Arabidopsis thaliana: one gene and its partners. The protein of the gene in region 1 interacts with the protein of each later gene in a pairwise test. Each region holds a gene or a part of one and is shown on either strand. Other genes may lie near its edges.

Region 1 (4,892 bases):
GACAACCTATATAAATAAATAAATAAAATAGAGTTTTCTTTTACTCTTACTTTCTTTATTAGTTTCATAATAATATGTGTAAAAGTAAGAGTTGGATATTTTTCGTTTTAATTTCTGCCTTCGAATTAGTTACGCATACAAAGCATAAGAGACAAGAGACATAGCGTACCAAAAAAGAAGAAAATAGTGCAAAAATATCATATAGTTTTCTGGTACGCCTCATCAATTCCACCCCCGTACACCATAATTATATAGAATTTCAATATCGAAATGTCGACAGCAACAAAATTCAACATGTCGAATAATATTGTTTTAAATATTCCATTTTACTAGAAGATGAAAAAAAGAGAGAAGAAAGTAACCTTTTGTCTTTGTCACCTTGACTTAAACAGTAATACAAACCCCACAAGTAAATTATTCAAGTTCAAATCGTAGTTAATGTTTATATTTGAGAATTGCAAATGGTTTAAACGAAAACCAAACTACGAATTACAAATTTGAAGAGGACTTGTACTAGAAAATAAATAGAGAAAAGAAGAATAATAAATAGTAACAGAAAATGGGAAAGATGATGATTCGTGTGGACCAAGTCTCTCCTCCCCTTTAGCTTGCCTTATTGGTAAAGTATCCTCCTGCAAGCAAACGTATCTGTCACTCCTTTTTTATTTTCTTTCACCTTCTATCTTATTCTCATTAATTCTTCTTTTTTGGTCAACTTCATGTATAGAAAATAATACCAAAATTTTTTGATATAGTAAAACTATTAGAACTGAATTTCAAACAAAAATAATACAAATTTAAGCAAAAAAATATTAAAAATAAATTTTAAAGAATATTTTTACATATAATAAATATACATAGTTGATACTTTTATATAATTATTAATTTATGATATTAATGAGACCATATATTTACATAGAACATTCAAAATAATTATTATCTTATTAATCTATCGATATATATCACTTTTTATACTAGTTTTTGGAATCTTAATAATTTATTAATTTGTAGAAGTTATTAATTTATAGAGGTTTTACTGTACATGTCAGCATTTAACTTTTGATAAGCACAAAACCATTACATATTTTCCAACCAGATTATTTTCTATTTATCCTAGCGTTTGTAAATCTTTGAACTACAATAATTTATCAAATACAATATAAGATTTTTATACTAAAGATGTATACAATGCATTTAACATTAAAGGAAACAAATAAACTCTAATCTTTTAAAAAAATACTTTACCTTTTAAAAAGAGTTATTAATCACATAAGCAATATTTAATTTTTCATTATTTTTTTCATCATCTGTCTAACATATTACTTTTTAAAAAATATTTATCGTTGGATACTTACTTTTCAGACCACACACTAGGACTAGTGGTTCCTTTATTTTACTGCATAGAACGACAACAAAAAGCTAAGCAGTAACATTTTTTAGGGTTTTATTACTGCAACACTCAAAAATGAGAAATTATTATTAAAATTGAAAATGAAAAATAGTAATCGCAATCCGAAATTACTTTTTTTCTAGCCTTCTAGGAACTCGAAAAGAAAGCAAATTTCTTGCAATTGAAGGTACCTGCTTCTCTTTTTCTGGTTTGTCTGGTTTCATATTAAAAAAAACATTTTGACAACTATATTTCTGGTTTGTCTGAAAAAATTGAGAAGAAAACCTAGAAACAAATACGGTCTTTTTTTTTTCTTTTTATGGGTCGCGAATCTCTGGCTGTTGTGTCCTCGCCGCCATCGGCGACTGCGCCCAGTACTGCTGTGTCGGCTACCTCGCTTGCTCCTGGCTTTCGATTTCATCCGACTGATGAGGAACTCGTGAGCTATTACTTGAAGAGGAAGGTTCTGGGTAAACCTGTACGCTTCGATGCGATTGGAGAGGTAGATATCTACAAGCATGAGCCCTGGGATTTAGCAGGTTCGTTAGGTTTCTTCTTCTTCATTTCTGCTTATCTCTATGATTTGGGGGTTTCTGTGAATTTGATGCTTCTGATTTGGGATTTTTGTCGCCTGGGCTTATTGGTTGTTCCGTCTTCTGGCTCAATTCTGGGAAATGAGTTTAGCTTTTACGTGCTCCGATTCGTTTTCTGGGAAATTTTTTGTTGCAGAGAAGATTCTCTGTTCGTACCTGGCGCTAAGTTTAGGCAATTAGGCTTTAACACTGTGAAGACATTCCATCCAATTGACTTCTTAACTGAAGAAAGTCGAATTTTCTTCAGATTGCTTTAAGAATTTCGTGTTTGCTTGTGCTACAGTTATGTTTGCTTGTGCTACAGTTATGTTTGCTTGTGGATCAGGAAATGAAGTTTGTTGCTTGTGTGTTTGGCTATCTGAAGTGTTCTCAAGTATGATCTGAAAGAAAAAAAACCTTGTGATGTGTTGTGTGTTTCAGTGTTTTCGAAGTTGAAAACTCGGGACCAAGAATGGTACTTCTTCAGTGCGTTAGATAAGAAGTACGGTAATGGTGCTAGGATGAATCGAGCAACTAACAAAGGGTACTGGAAAGCAACTGGAAAAGACAGAGAAATCCGCCGGGATATTCAGTTGCTCGGTATGAAAAAGACGCTTGTTTTCCACAGCGGGCGTGCTCCAGACGGCCTTCGGACTAATTGGGTCATGCACGAGTATCGCCTTGTGGAATATGAAACTGAAACTAACGGAAGCCTGCTGGTATTATGTTGTCCAAAAGAGTTACTTTTGAATTGGGGTTATCTCATTTTGTAAGAATCCTATCTTATCTTACTTCTTTGTCTGGGTGCAGCAGGATGCATATGTGTTGTGCAGAGTGTTTCACAAGAATAACATTGGGCCACCAAGTGGGAACAGATATGCGCCATTCATGGAAGAAGAATGGGCTGATGGTGGAGGAGCTCTGATTCCAGGAATAGACGTTAGGGTCAGGGTAGAGGCTCTACCACAAGCCAATGGAAACAACCAGATGGACCAGGTTTGTACTTTCTTTATACTCAAATGTTTCTTATATGCATAACCTCTGTGATACATCCCTCTAATGTGAATCATCTCTCTTGATTCACAAGATATTATATTTCTTATTGCAAAAGCTCTTTGCTTCTCTAAGTGCTGTTTCAGTGGGCTGATTTACTTAAACTGCACAATTCCATTAAGTTTGCTATCACCTTTTGTAGAACTCAGCTCAACCTTACAGCTTTATCTAATGAAAGGTCTCTCTTGATTCACAAGATATCTAATTTTTCTTTATGGTCCTTTTTCTTTGAGATTTATCCTTTGATTACATGATATTTCAGACTTACAATCTTCGTTTGGCATTAAAGGTGCTCAACAAGAGAAATATTTATTGTGTTTTGGTTAATCTGCAAAGTCGATCAACGCGTTTTGGTTTGAGATATTTTATGTCTGTTGGGGTTCACATAACTTGTAATTTGTTGTAGGAAATGCATTCAGCAAGCAAGGATCTCATTAACATCAACGAGCTACCGAGAGATGCTACTCCAATGGACATCGAACCTAACCAACAGAATCATCATGAGAGTGCCTTCAAGCCACAGGAGAGTAACAACCATAGTGGTTATGAAGAAGATGAGGACACACTCAAACGCGAGCACGCAGAAGAAGATGAGCGTCCTCCTTCTCTATGCATTCTCAACAAAGAAGCTCCACTACCTCTCCTGCAATACAAACGTAGACGCCAAAACGAGTCCAACAACAACTCAAGCAGGAACACACAGGACCATTGTTCGTCCACAATAACAACCGTCGACAATACAACCACCTTAATCTCATCATCTGCTGCTGCTGCTACCAACACTGCCATCTCTGCATTGCTTGAGTTCTCACTTATGGGTATCTCCGACAAGAAAGAAAACCAGCAGAAAGAGGAAACTTCTCCTCCTAGTCCAATTGCATCTCCTGAAGAGAAGGTTAATGATCTCCAGAAGGAGGTTCACCAGATGTCTGTTGAAAGAGAAACTTTCAAGCTTGAGATGATGAGTGCAGAGGCTATGATCAGCATTCTCCAGTCAAGAATCGATGCGCTGCGTCAGGAGAACGAGGAACTTAAGAAGAAGAACGCCAGTGGACAAGCTAGTTAAACCACCGCAACATCTCTCCAGGTGTCTTCTTCTTCTTCTTCTTCTTCTTTGCCTCTTAGCTGTAATCTTCTTAATAGTATGAGCTATGGATGTAGCTTCTTCAGACGGATCAGAAACCTTATGAATCTCTGTTGTAAAATTAGGATAAAACGGAACGGAGCCAACCAACTAGGTCTTTTTATTTTATCCTTTTTTACTTTGGATGTTTCTGCATCTTTTGGGAACATTTTCAGGCTGATCCATTGTCGTATATTATCATCTATCTATCTAGTCTTTTCAGACAAGAACTCGCTTTTGTTTGGTTTCCTCTCAAGAAATGTTCAGTCTCCATAAAGAAAGCTTTTTCCTTGGGGTAATCATTAGTGGTCAGATATGAGGGCATAATCGTCATTGTCATTTGAAATGACCTTCTGGTCTTCCGGACAAGAACCACTCTGTTGCTTGATGTTTCTGTGTGACTGTCTCCACAGTCCACAGGGAAGAGAGCTTCTTAGGTAAAGTCGTGATTAGTGGAAATGATTGAGGGTATAATCGTCATTGACTAATTCAGCGTTACGATTTAGGAATGTGGTTCCGTCAACGACGTTAGAAGACTTTTGTTACACGTAATTTGCAATTATTTGTTTTTTCTCTAAAAGCGAAAAGCGCTTGGTACGATTCAAGCCTGGATTCCATCTCTCTCCCATTAAGTTTTCAAGAAGAAGTTTTGATCACAGACGTATTTTCGAAATGGTTTCATATCTTACTAGGCAATGGAATTTCGTAGGTGTTATAGAGTTTGGTGTTTATATTTTACTTTTAACTACATCGT
Region 2 (6,237 bases), on another chromosome or scaffold:
TGTAATATATTAAATTGAAAATAAAAGAAAAATAACGAATGTGAAATTAGAGATGACCTAAGCGAATTCAAAGTTAGCAAATTTAGAGTCGAATAGCGAAGAAAAAGCTTACTGTGTAGCCATGGCGGAGACCAAAGTAACTGGAGAAGGAAGAAGAGAGAGAGAAATGGAAGAAGGAATAAAAGAGAGAATTTTTAGAAGAAAGAAAAAAGACAAAATAGAAAAGCGTTGACAGGCTAAAAGAGCGAGACGGACAAATGAAAGTGGTTACTGGTTACTATTAGTACCAACGCTGGATTTTTAGCTTACGTGTCTATTTCACCTCTTTGATATTTTCTTTTTTTCCGTAGCAAATTTTAATTATTTTTAAATTATATAACCATTATTAATGATAATATGGTAGCTTAAAGTATTAATTAAATAATATAATTTTTATATAATATTAAAAAGTTCTCAGTAATACTTAAATATATATATATTAGAAAGTTATTTAATGTCTAAATTTCAGATTTTTAGAAGAATTTAGCCAAATTAAATCAAATATTAAAAGATTTTGCTGTTTAAAAAGGAATTAAATCAAAAAATATTAAATGAATTAAAAACAATTATCTTCCACTCCACATAAAAAAAAAGATATGTGAGTAGAAAAGAAAAAAAATATTAAAAGATAAGATGCAAACCCTGCATTTGTAACTCCATAACTAAATCTAAAAGCAAGTGACTCAGAGCACAACTCTCGTACAATTTGCCCTACAGTTTTATTTATATTTGGTGGCAAATGTCAGCTCTGTTTTGATGTGAAAGCCATCAACATCATGTAATTGATTAGCATATTACATATAGAATATGAGATACCCACATATATATAGAAAAAATGACGGTAAAGATTAAAAAAAAAAGTATACTTGATTTGTCATAATAAGAATAAGCATGTATCTCATATGTACAAAAATAGATTTAATGTTATTTATTTTAATATTCTTGTATTTTTTGTTTTATTTGAACTTATAATAAAAAAAAAACTGTAGATATTAATAGTTATGTAAAAATCATAAAAATAGATGTAAAAATCATATTAAAAGTTATGATAAATTTAGTTTACTACATAACTCTTTTGAAAAATGTGGAAAAATTATAGTAAACTGTATGAAAAGAAGATTATCATACAGTTAAAATTAAAATCTTTTAGAACATGTGTAGTGGTGGTTTCTAACCAAAGTTTTTAATTTACTAAAGTAATAATAATAAAAAAAATATTTAATTTGAAGAGTTTTTTAAAATAGTTTTTTCAAATCTTTTAAATTAAAAACTTTCTCATATTTTCTTAGAAATTGTTTTAATTAAAAAAATATTGTTTATTATTTTATTATTATTAATGTAGGCGAGAGATTTTGGTAAAAAATCACAATGCTGATGCTTTTAAAATAATCAATTTTTCTAAGAATACATAAATCAGCAATGCTTCTCACACGCCAAACGTAAATATAGACGCGATTATGAAAAAAAATCGCGTCGAAAACAAACGTCATTATGTCATTACACGTGTTACCAATCAAAAAGCCTTTATGTTTAATTAGTAAAGGCTAGTAAGAGATTTACAACAAATGAAAAAAATAAAAATAAAAACATAATCCAAGATCCCTAAAAATTCCCAAAAAGAACCCTAGATTTTCTCCTCTCACGCTCCTTGGTTCCTCACTCGCTTTTGCTTCCCCACTCGCCTGCTTCGTGTTCTTCTTTGCTTTGCTCTTTTCACGTCAGAATTTTGCCTTCCCTCCCTTTGTCTCTCTCTGGGTGGCCGAGAAAATACAGTAAAAAGCCCTCACCAATCCAAAAGTTTGACATTTCCTGAATTTTGTAGTCTCTTCATTTGAATTCTCAGGTTTTCTCTTAAGATACATTAAAGTCTCTGTCTTTTATGCTGATACTAATGAAAGTTCAGTTCTTTCACTGAAATTTTAGAACCAGAACTTTTCTACTACTAGAAGTATGTTGTCTCTGACTCTCTTAGTTTGAGTTCTCAGGTCTCCTTCTCTTATTTGTGTGAAATTTTACTCTTTTTTGGCTTTAGAAACAGAACTTTTCTACTATTAGAAGTTATGTTGTTGAAAGTTCTTCACTTTCATTTGATTCCATTGATTTCATATTGCTTTGTGTGTTTCAAGTTTGATGTTTTTAGGTAGAAGATGTCGCGCTGGTTCTTATGAAGTTTGGTTGTGACATTTTTCAGGTGCTAAGGTGGATTATCTAGTAGAAAGATTTCAGTTTCCAATTTCATGGAAGCCCATAGTGGGGTAGTTGCTTTTGAGTGTGTTAGTGAATCCATATGTGGCTAAGGTTAGGATGGATTTGCAAGAGAATCTGGTTAGTGATGCAGGGGATGACCATATGGTTGACATTGTAGTTGAACCGCATAGTAACAGAGATATAGGAATTGTTGATGAGTTCAATATAGGTGGAGATGTTGGATTTAGTGGTGATCTGGATCTTGAGCCACGAAATGGTATAGACTTTGATACCCATGAGGCAGCGTATATCTTTTATCAGGAATATGCAAAATCTATGGGTTTTACTACGTCGATTAAAAACAGTAGACGTTCCAAGAAAACTAAAGACTTCATTGATGCTAAGTTTGCTTGTTCCAGATATGGTGTGACTCCTGAGTCTGAGAGTAGTGGTAGTAGTAGTCGAAGGTCAACTGTGAAAAAAACAGATTGCAAGGCTAGTATGCATGTGAAGAGAAGACCAGATGGGAAATGGATCATTCATGAGTTTGTAAAGGATCACAATCACGAACTTTTACCTGCCCTTGCTTATCATTTCCGGATTCAGAGGAATGTCAAGTTAGCTGAGAAGAATAATATCGACATTCTGCATGCGGTTAGTGAACGGACCAAAAAAATGTATGTTGAAATGTCGAGACAATCTGGCGGATATAAGAATATCGGGTCTCTTCTTCAGACCGATGTCAGCAGTCAGGTTGATAAGGGTAGGTATCTAGCTTTGGAAGAAGGAGATTCTCAAGTACTGCTTGAGTACTTCAAGCGTATCAAGAAAGAAAACCCTAAATTCTTTTATGCTATAGACCTGAACGAGGACCAACGTTTAAGAAATCTGTTTTGGGCTGATGCCAAGAGCAGAGATGACTATTTGAGTTTCAATGATGTTGTATCCTTTGATACTACTTATGTCAAGTTTAACGATAAGTTGCCACTAGCTTTATTTATTGGGGTGAACCATCACTCCCAACCTATGTTACTAGGCTGTGCATTGGTTGCTGATGAGTCTATGGAGACTTTTGTGTGGCTGATAAAAACATGGCTACGAGCAATGGGTGGTCGAGCTCCTAAAGTTATACTCACTGACCAAGATAAATTCTTGATGTCTGCTGTTTCAGAGCTCCTACCAAACACTCGTCATTGCTTTGCGTTATGGCATGTTTTAGAAAAGATTCCTGAATATTTCTCACATGTGATGAAACGGCACGAGAATTTCTTACTGAAATTCAACAAATGCATTTTCAGATCTTGGACAGATGATGAGTTTGATATGAGGTGGTGGAAAATGGTCAGCCAGTTTGGACTTGAGAATGATGAATGGCTGCTATGGTTGCATGAACATCGCCAAAAGTGGGTGCCCACATTTATGAGCGATGTGTTTCTGGCAGGCATGTCGACATCTCAACGTTCAGAAAGTGTGAACTCTTTCTTCGATAAGTACATCCATAAGAAAATCACGCTGAAAGAGTTCTTGAGGCAATACGGTGTGATTCTGCAGAATAGGTACGAAGAGGAATCTGTTGCAGATTTCGATACTTGCCACAAGCAACCTGCATTGAAGTCCCCCTCGCCCTGGGAGAAGCAAATGGCAACAACTTACACCCACACAATATTTAAGAAATTTCAAGTCGAGGTCTTGGGGGTTGTCGCTTGCCATCCTAGAAAGGAAAAAGAAGATGAAAATATGGCGACGTTTAGAGTTCAAGACTGTGAAAAAGACGATGACTTTCTTGTAACGTGGAGCAAAACTAAGTCAGAACTTTGCTGCTTCTGTCGTATGTTTGAATACAAAGGGTTTCTTTGTCGGCATGCTTTGATGATTCTGCAGATGTGTGGTTTCGCCAGCATCCCGCCTCAGTATATATTGAAAAGGTGGACAAAAGATGCTAAGAGTGGAGTATTAGCTGGTGAAGGAGCAGACCAGATACAGACCCGAGTTCAGCGCTATAACGATTTGTGTAGTCGAGCCACTGAATTGAGTGAGGAAGGTTGTGTGTCAGAAGAAAACTACAACATCGCATTGCGCACACTAGTCGAGACCCTGAAAAATTGTGTTGATATGAATAATGCTAGAAACAACATCACTGAGTCTAATAGCCAGCTTAATAATGGTACTCACGAAGAAGAAAACCAGGTAATGGCTGGGGTAAAAGCAACAAAAAAGAAGACTGTATATAGGAAAAGAAAGGTATGCTTTTACTGAAGCTTCTCGCCAATCTAAACCTACGTACATTTTCTTAGCTTCAAAGGTTAAAAAGAAGATACTCAAATTGATCTTATGCAGGGACAACAAGAGGCTAGCCAAATGCTTGAATCTCAACAGAGCTTGCAACCAATGGTTTGTGCTTTGATTTGATCTTCTCTAATTAGTTTGATCATTGTAACTGCACATTGCTTTATGAGATTAAGAGTAGGATGTCTTGGATATATGGCCTTATAGTTTTAACATTTTGTGCAGGAAACTATAAGTTCAGAGGCGATGGACATGAATGGTTACTATGGTCCTCAACAGAACGTTCAAGGACTGGTATGCTATGTTAGTTGATTAATACAAACCTGGTTAAGCCATTCGACATCTATTATAAACCCTAATACTAAACCTGTTTAAACTGTGGATATAGTTAAATTTAATGGAGCCACCTCATGAAGGCTACTATGTAGATCAACGAACCATCCAAGGCCTGGTAGGTTACATATAGTTTAAATGCTTGAATCTCCCAAATCTGTGCTAGAGTATAAGTCAACGACATGAATTTTGGTTCTTTTGACTCTTCAGGGACAACTGAATTCGATAGCACCGGCGCAGGATAGCTTCTTCACGAATCAGCAAGCCATGTCTGGGATGGTGGTACATTATAAAATCCTTCAAACTGATTTTAAAAACTGTGTTATGAATGATCGTGTTGTTAACATCTTTTGTTTATTGTCCGGTCCAGGGTCAAATCGATTTCAGACCTCCTCCCAATTTCACTTACACTTTACAGGTCTCAGCTGCCTGGATAAAGTCTTTACTTTAGTATCATTTTGTACTCGAACCACACGTGTTGATATCGTTAAATCTTTTCGTTATTCCAGGAAGAGCATTTGAGTTCTGCCCAATTACCTGGTAGTTCATCAAGGCAGCTATAGTAGCAACACGTTTTGATTACTTTGGAGAGAAGTTTTGTCTCAGGAAACATTTGCAAGAAGCTGTTCCAAACATGAGAAAAACACAAGATCTTTCATGGAGCTGAGTTGCAATGACAAGATGTAATCTTTTCTTAAATTGGTTTCTGTATATTATGGGATTGCCTTATGATGTATTAATGTGGGATGAAATATTGTGTTATCTGATTGAATGTCTTGAGATTTAATAGATGCACTTGTAACAACATCTTTATCTAAACACATAGAAATCTATCCTCTGTGTATTAGTCAAACAAGTAATTTTGAGATCACATTAAATCAAAATTGTTAAAACAGGTTTCAACTTATTTAGTAGAAACAAAAAGTTATTTTTAGATTAAATGTGGTTAATTTGGTTAAATACACATTCCCTGGTCGTTGTCGTATGTAGGTGTGTCCCTTTTGACAAAACAAACAAACAGAAAAGGTTTCTTTATTCAGACAACATCAAAACTGGGGAAGAACCAAAACTAATAGAGTTGGTCAAAAGAAACATTTGCAAAAAAAAAAAAAGAGAGGCAAAGATCTCGAGAGATTTCAATTTTCAATGGAGAAAGTGAATCAAACCTTCTTCTTATCTCATGGATCTCCAACTTTGAGCATAGATGATTCCTTGGAAGCGAGACAATTCTTCAAATCATGGACTCAAAAAGTTCTTCCTCAAAAACCCAAATCGATTTTAGTCATCTCTGCTCATTGGGACACCAAATTCCCATCTGTCAACACTGTTCTTCGCAATAACACGATCCACGATTTCTCTGGCTTCCCTGATCCTATGTACAAGGTAAAACCA
Region 3 (3,448 bases), on another chromosome or scaffold:
ACTAATAATATTTCTTGTTATCACTAAGATATGATCTTGATGACAATGTTACACAGTTACAATACGTATAACTCAGTTTGGACTTTGGATCCAACCTTACAAAAACAGAACAATTCGATGGACAAGGCTATATTTTAGCCATAATCTCCTTATTACTAGGTAGTTTCAAGTTTTTCAAGATTTATATACTATGTAATTGTTCTGTGTTAAAAAGTGTTGGTTTTTTATAGCTTTTTTTTTTGTTGACACAAAGCTTTTTTAAAAAAACAAATGACGACAAATTTATACAAAACTGACAGAAACTGGTTTAGTTAGCTATGGAAACTTATATGAGCGTTAAAAAAATGCTAATGCACATTGATTATCACGTTTTCATAGTTAGAAGTACGAAAAACCTTTAAAAAAATTTGGGATTTCCAAACATCTTTTCATGCATAACCAAATATATATATTTTCATAGTGCATAGACATTATCGATACGTAAACGTATTTCTTTTTGTTTCTTTATAGAAAATTCATTTTAGCATTTACTTGTTTATCTCTACCAACTTTTCTTTTAATAGATAGATAAAAAGAAGGGATTATTGTGTCATGACTTTTTTTTCTCCATAATGTTTTCGTATAAGATTCGACTATATATACAGTAATAGACCGTCCGTTCGAAATTATTAACACGAACTAGGAACAAACGTATGAAATTGAAACATCATTATCAAATGTTCGGTACTTCGTATATTATAGAAGTAGCTAGCTAGATTACTAGGATGATCCAAAATACCTCATAAACACTACACTTTGATAGGGAAAAAATATAGTTAACATAAACAAATATCGTCTCTACAAAGTAATGTATTTTTTGCTAAAAAAAAAGGAAGGTATATGTCAATTGAAAAATAATCAAACCAAATGTAAAAAAAAAAGTATATGCTAAAAAAAAAATGTACATGCTGCATTATGTTGTTTTTTGCGAAAAATAGGTCCTGAAATGGGCTACTATTATTAGTGGGCCAAACCTTGCGATCCAATTCCCTAATGACGGTATAGGGCGTGCACTGGTGGAAGACTAGCTATTGATTTATATATGTTTGGAGTTTGGACTAAAATAAATAGAAATATCTGTATTCCAATTATATATAAAAAATTCTCATCGTCTTTGATATATAGAAAGTTTTTAAAATTTCAGTTTCACAGATGTTACCAGTTCTAGTTTTATAAGCTTATGCTAATTATCTGATCAATGCAAACAAAAGTTGACAATAATAAAATGAAGTCTTTTTTTTTCCGCAAAATAAAATGAAGTCAAATATGGTATATTCCTACTATAAATATAGACTAAGACTCGTGAATAATACTCGAATCAGTCTCTGAGGTTTTGCTGGAAAAAAAAACCGAAGAGCTCAAAACAGAGTGCGTTTGTTTCTGGGAATCTTGAAGCCTCTCACTTGCGAAGACGAAGCTTGCTTGTTAGGTAGTTATCTTCTTCTTCTTCTTCGTTTCAATTCCTTTTTCGTTCATCTGAAATGTGAAATCATGTGACGTGACGATTGGGTTAACGATCGAATTTCGTATATGATTCTTTTCTAGTTTCTTTAATCAGCAAGTCTTGTTGTTTTCTTTCAATCGAGACTGATTCTAGATGTTCTTAAGGATCTTGTTCGATGAAATTTACATGAATCTGTATTCTAGAAGATGAACTTTGCATGAATCATCCATATCGACGAACTGATCTTGTTGTTGTTATGGATTAAGTTTCTTGAGATACAAGAAAGGCTTCAATGACCAATCTGATCTGTTTTGATGAACACAAATCTTTATCTTTGAACAATGGATTAGGTCAATTTCACACCATGGCTGGAGGAAGTAAATCACCGGCGTCATCTTTGGAAGATGGAAAGGCATACGTCAATGCTGTGAAGGTCGCATTGGAGGAAGCGGAACCTGCAAAATATCAAGAGTTTCTAAGACTCTTTCATGAGGTGATAGCGCGAAGGTGTGTTTGGTTTGCTCTTAAACAGTCTAAAGAACAAAGACACATGTGAGAATTGATTCTAATGTTATTTTTATCTTTGTAGGATGGGTATGGCTACTTTCAGTGCACGCATGCAGGACCTCTTGAAAGATCACCCGAGTCTGTGTCTTGGTTTAAATGTCATGCTTGCACCTGAGTATCAGAGAGCCATCCCTCCCGAGGCTAGCGAAGAGTTTCATAAGGTGGTTGGAAGAAGCGTACCACGTCCGGAGCCTACCATAGATGATGCGACTTCATACCTCATTGCTGTGAAGGAAGCATTTCATGATGAACCTGCAAAATATGAGGAAATGCTTAAGCTCTTGAATGATTTTAAAGCTCGCAGGTATGTATTAGTTCTTTTCTCCATGTTATGTTTGATTTTCTCAGTCTACAGAACAAATACATTATGTAAATTGATTCTGATGTTACTAAGTCTCTTTGTAGAGTCAATGCCGCTAGTGTCATTGCTAGGGTGGAGGAACTCATGAAAGATCACTCGAATCTGCTTTTTGGTTTCTGTGTCTTCCTTTCAGCTACAACGAGTTTTACCACGAAGCTTAAGGTATAGAGTGCTTATAGGTACCATTTGATATTTCCTATATGTTCACTTGCGGTTTAAGTAACAAAATTGTCCATATGCAGGCAAAGTTTCAGGGCGATGGTAGTCAAGTAGTTGACTCAGTTCTTCAGATAATGAGAATGTACGGTGAGGGAAACAAGTCCAAACATGATGCGTATCAGGAGGTAGGCTTCTTGGTAGGATACTTTGTGTTGTGTGTTGCACTTTCTTAGTTCTTTGGTTTCATTTGCTTTGTTATCTTTTGCAGATCGTTGCACTTGTTCAGGGTCATGACGATTTAGTCATGGAGCTTTCACAAATTTTCACTGATCCATCTACTAGAGTCTAGAGATGACTAAGGACGGTACTGGAAGGCTTCTAACGAAAAGAGAGTGATTTTAGTTTTCTTTTGCAAACATTTGAGTTTGGTTTGATTAACATGACATTCACAAATATGCTATGCTTCTATGTTGAGGTATATTGTACAATGAATTGGCGTATAAGAGACTAAAAGAGAGTGTATAGTTTCTTTTGTTGAGGTTTCTTTGATATCAAATGTTTTTTCACTAAATAAATATTTCCTCGTTACCAAGAAGACATGAGATTTGGGCCGTGTAGATATTTTTTGGGTCGTGTTTGCATAAGAAACTGAGAGGGGAAACACTAAAAAAACAGAGTTCAGCTAGAAACAAAAACAGAGAGGAAGAGAGCCCAAACTTACGCCTGGCCAAAAAATACAGAGCAAAACAAACAAAGTCAAGTAATTCTAATAACAAATATATTTTCTAATTTAAGTAAACCTTATATGAATTACGAAATTGATAATAAGATTTTATAGAAAAAAATTAAATTCAATATTTATATCTCTAATTTAAATA

Evidence for each region. The genes of interacting proteins can lie anywhere in the genome.
Region 2: the proteins of NAC050 (region 1) and FAR1 interact in a two-hybrid assay, tested with the Arabidopsis thaliana proteins (one large-scale study listed by BioGRID).
Region 3: the proteins of NAC050 (region 1) and AT1G23810 interact in a two-hybrid assay, tested with the Arabidopsis thaliana proteins (one large-scale study listed by BioGRID).

Annotation. Positions count from the first base shown.
Region 1 is NC_003074.8:3,262,701-3,267,592, forward strand, and holds NAC050 (NAC domain containing protein 50), read left to right. Parts: upstream 1-1,647; 5' UTR 1,648-1,709; coding exon 1,710-1,929; intron 1,930-2,119; coding exon 2,120-2,149; intron 2,150-2,230; coding exon 2,231-2,299; intron 2,300-2,403; coding exon 2,404-2,681; intron 2,682-2,772; coding exon 2,773-2,958; intron 2,959-3,101; coding exon 3,102-3,193; intron 3,194-3,304; coding exon 3,305-3,350; intron 3,351-3,421; coding exon 3,422-4,081; 3' UTR 4,082-4,390; downstream 4,391-4,892. UniProt on the Arabidopsis thaliana protein: Transcriptional repressor that binds to the motif 5'-(C/T)A(C/A)G-3' in the promoter of target genes. Also binds to the 5'-CTTGNNNNNCAAG-3' consensus sequence in chromatin.
Region 2 is NC_003075.7:8,612,463-8,618,699, forward strand, and holds FAR1 (FRS (FAR1 Related Sequences) transcription factor family), read left to right. Parts: upstream 1-1,597; 5' UTR 1,598-1,811; exon of another isoform or gene 1,812-2,230; 5' UTR 2,231-2,343; coding exon 2,344-4,467; intron 4,468-4,563; coding exon 4,564-4,617; intron 4,618-4,737; coding exon 4,738-4,806; intron 4,807-4,900; coding exon 4,901-4,963; intron 4,964-5,055; coding exon 5,056-5,127; intron 5,128-5,215; coding exon 5,216-5,263; intron 5,264-5,354; coding exon 5,355-5,408; 3' UTR 5,409-5,708; downstream 5,709-6,237. Other genes in the region: catalytic LigB subunit of aromatic ring-opening dioxygenase family, read left to right, coding at 5,992-6,228. UniProt on the Arabidopsis thaliana protein: Transcription activator that recognizes and binds to the DNA consensus sequence 5'-CACGCGC-3'. Activates the expression of FHY1 and FHL involved in light responses. Positive regulator of chlorophyll biosynthesis via the activation of HEMB1 gene expression.
Region 3 is NC_003070.9:8,415,648-8,419,095, forward strand, and holds AT1G23810 (Paired amphipathic helix (PAH2) superfamily protein), read left to right. Parts: upstream 1-1,847; coding exon 1,848-1,990; intron 1,991-2,072; coding exon 2,073-2,354; intron 2,355-2,455; coding exon 2,456-2,573; intron 2,574-2,653; coding exon 2,654-2,755; intron 2,756-2,838; coding exon 2,839-2,919; downstream 2,920-3,448.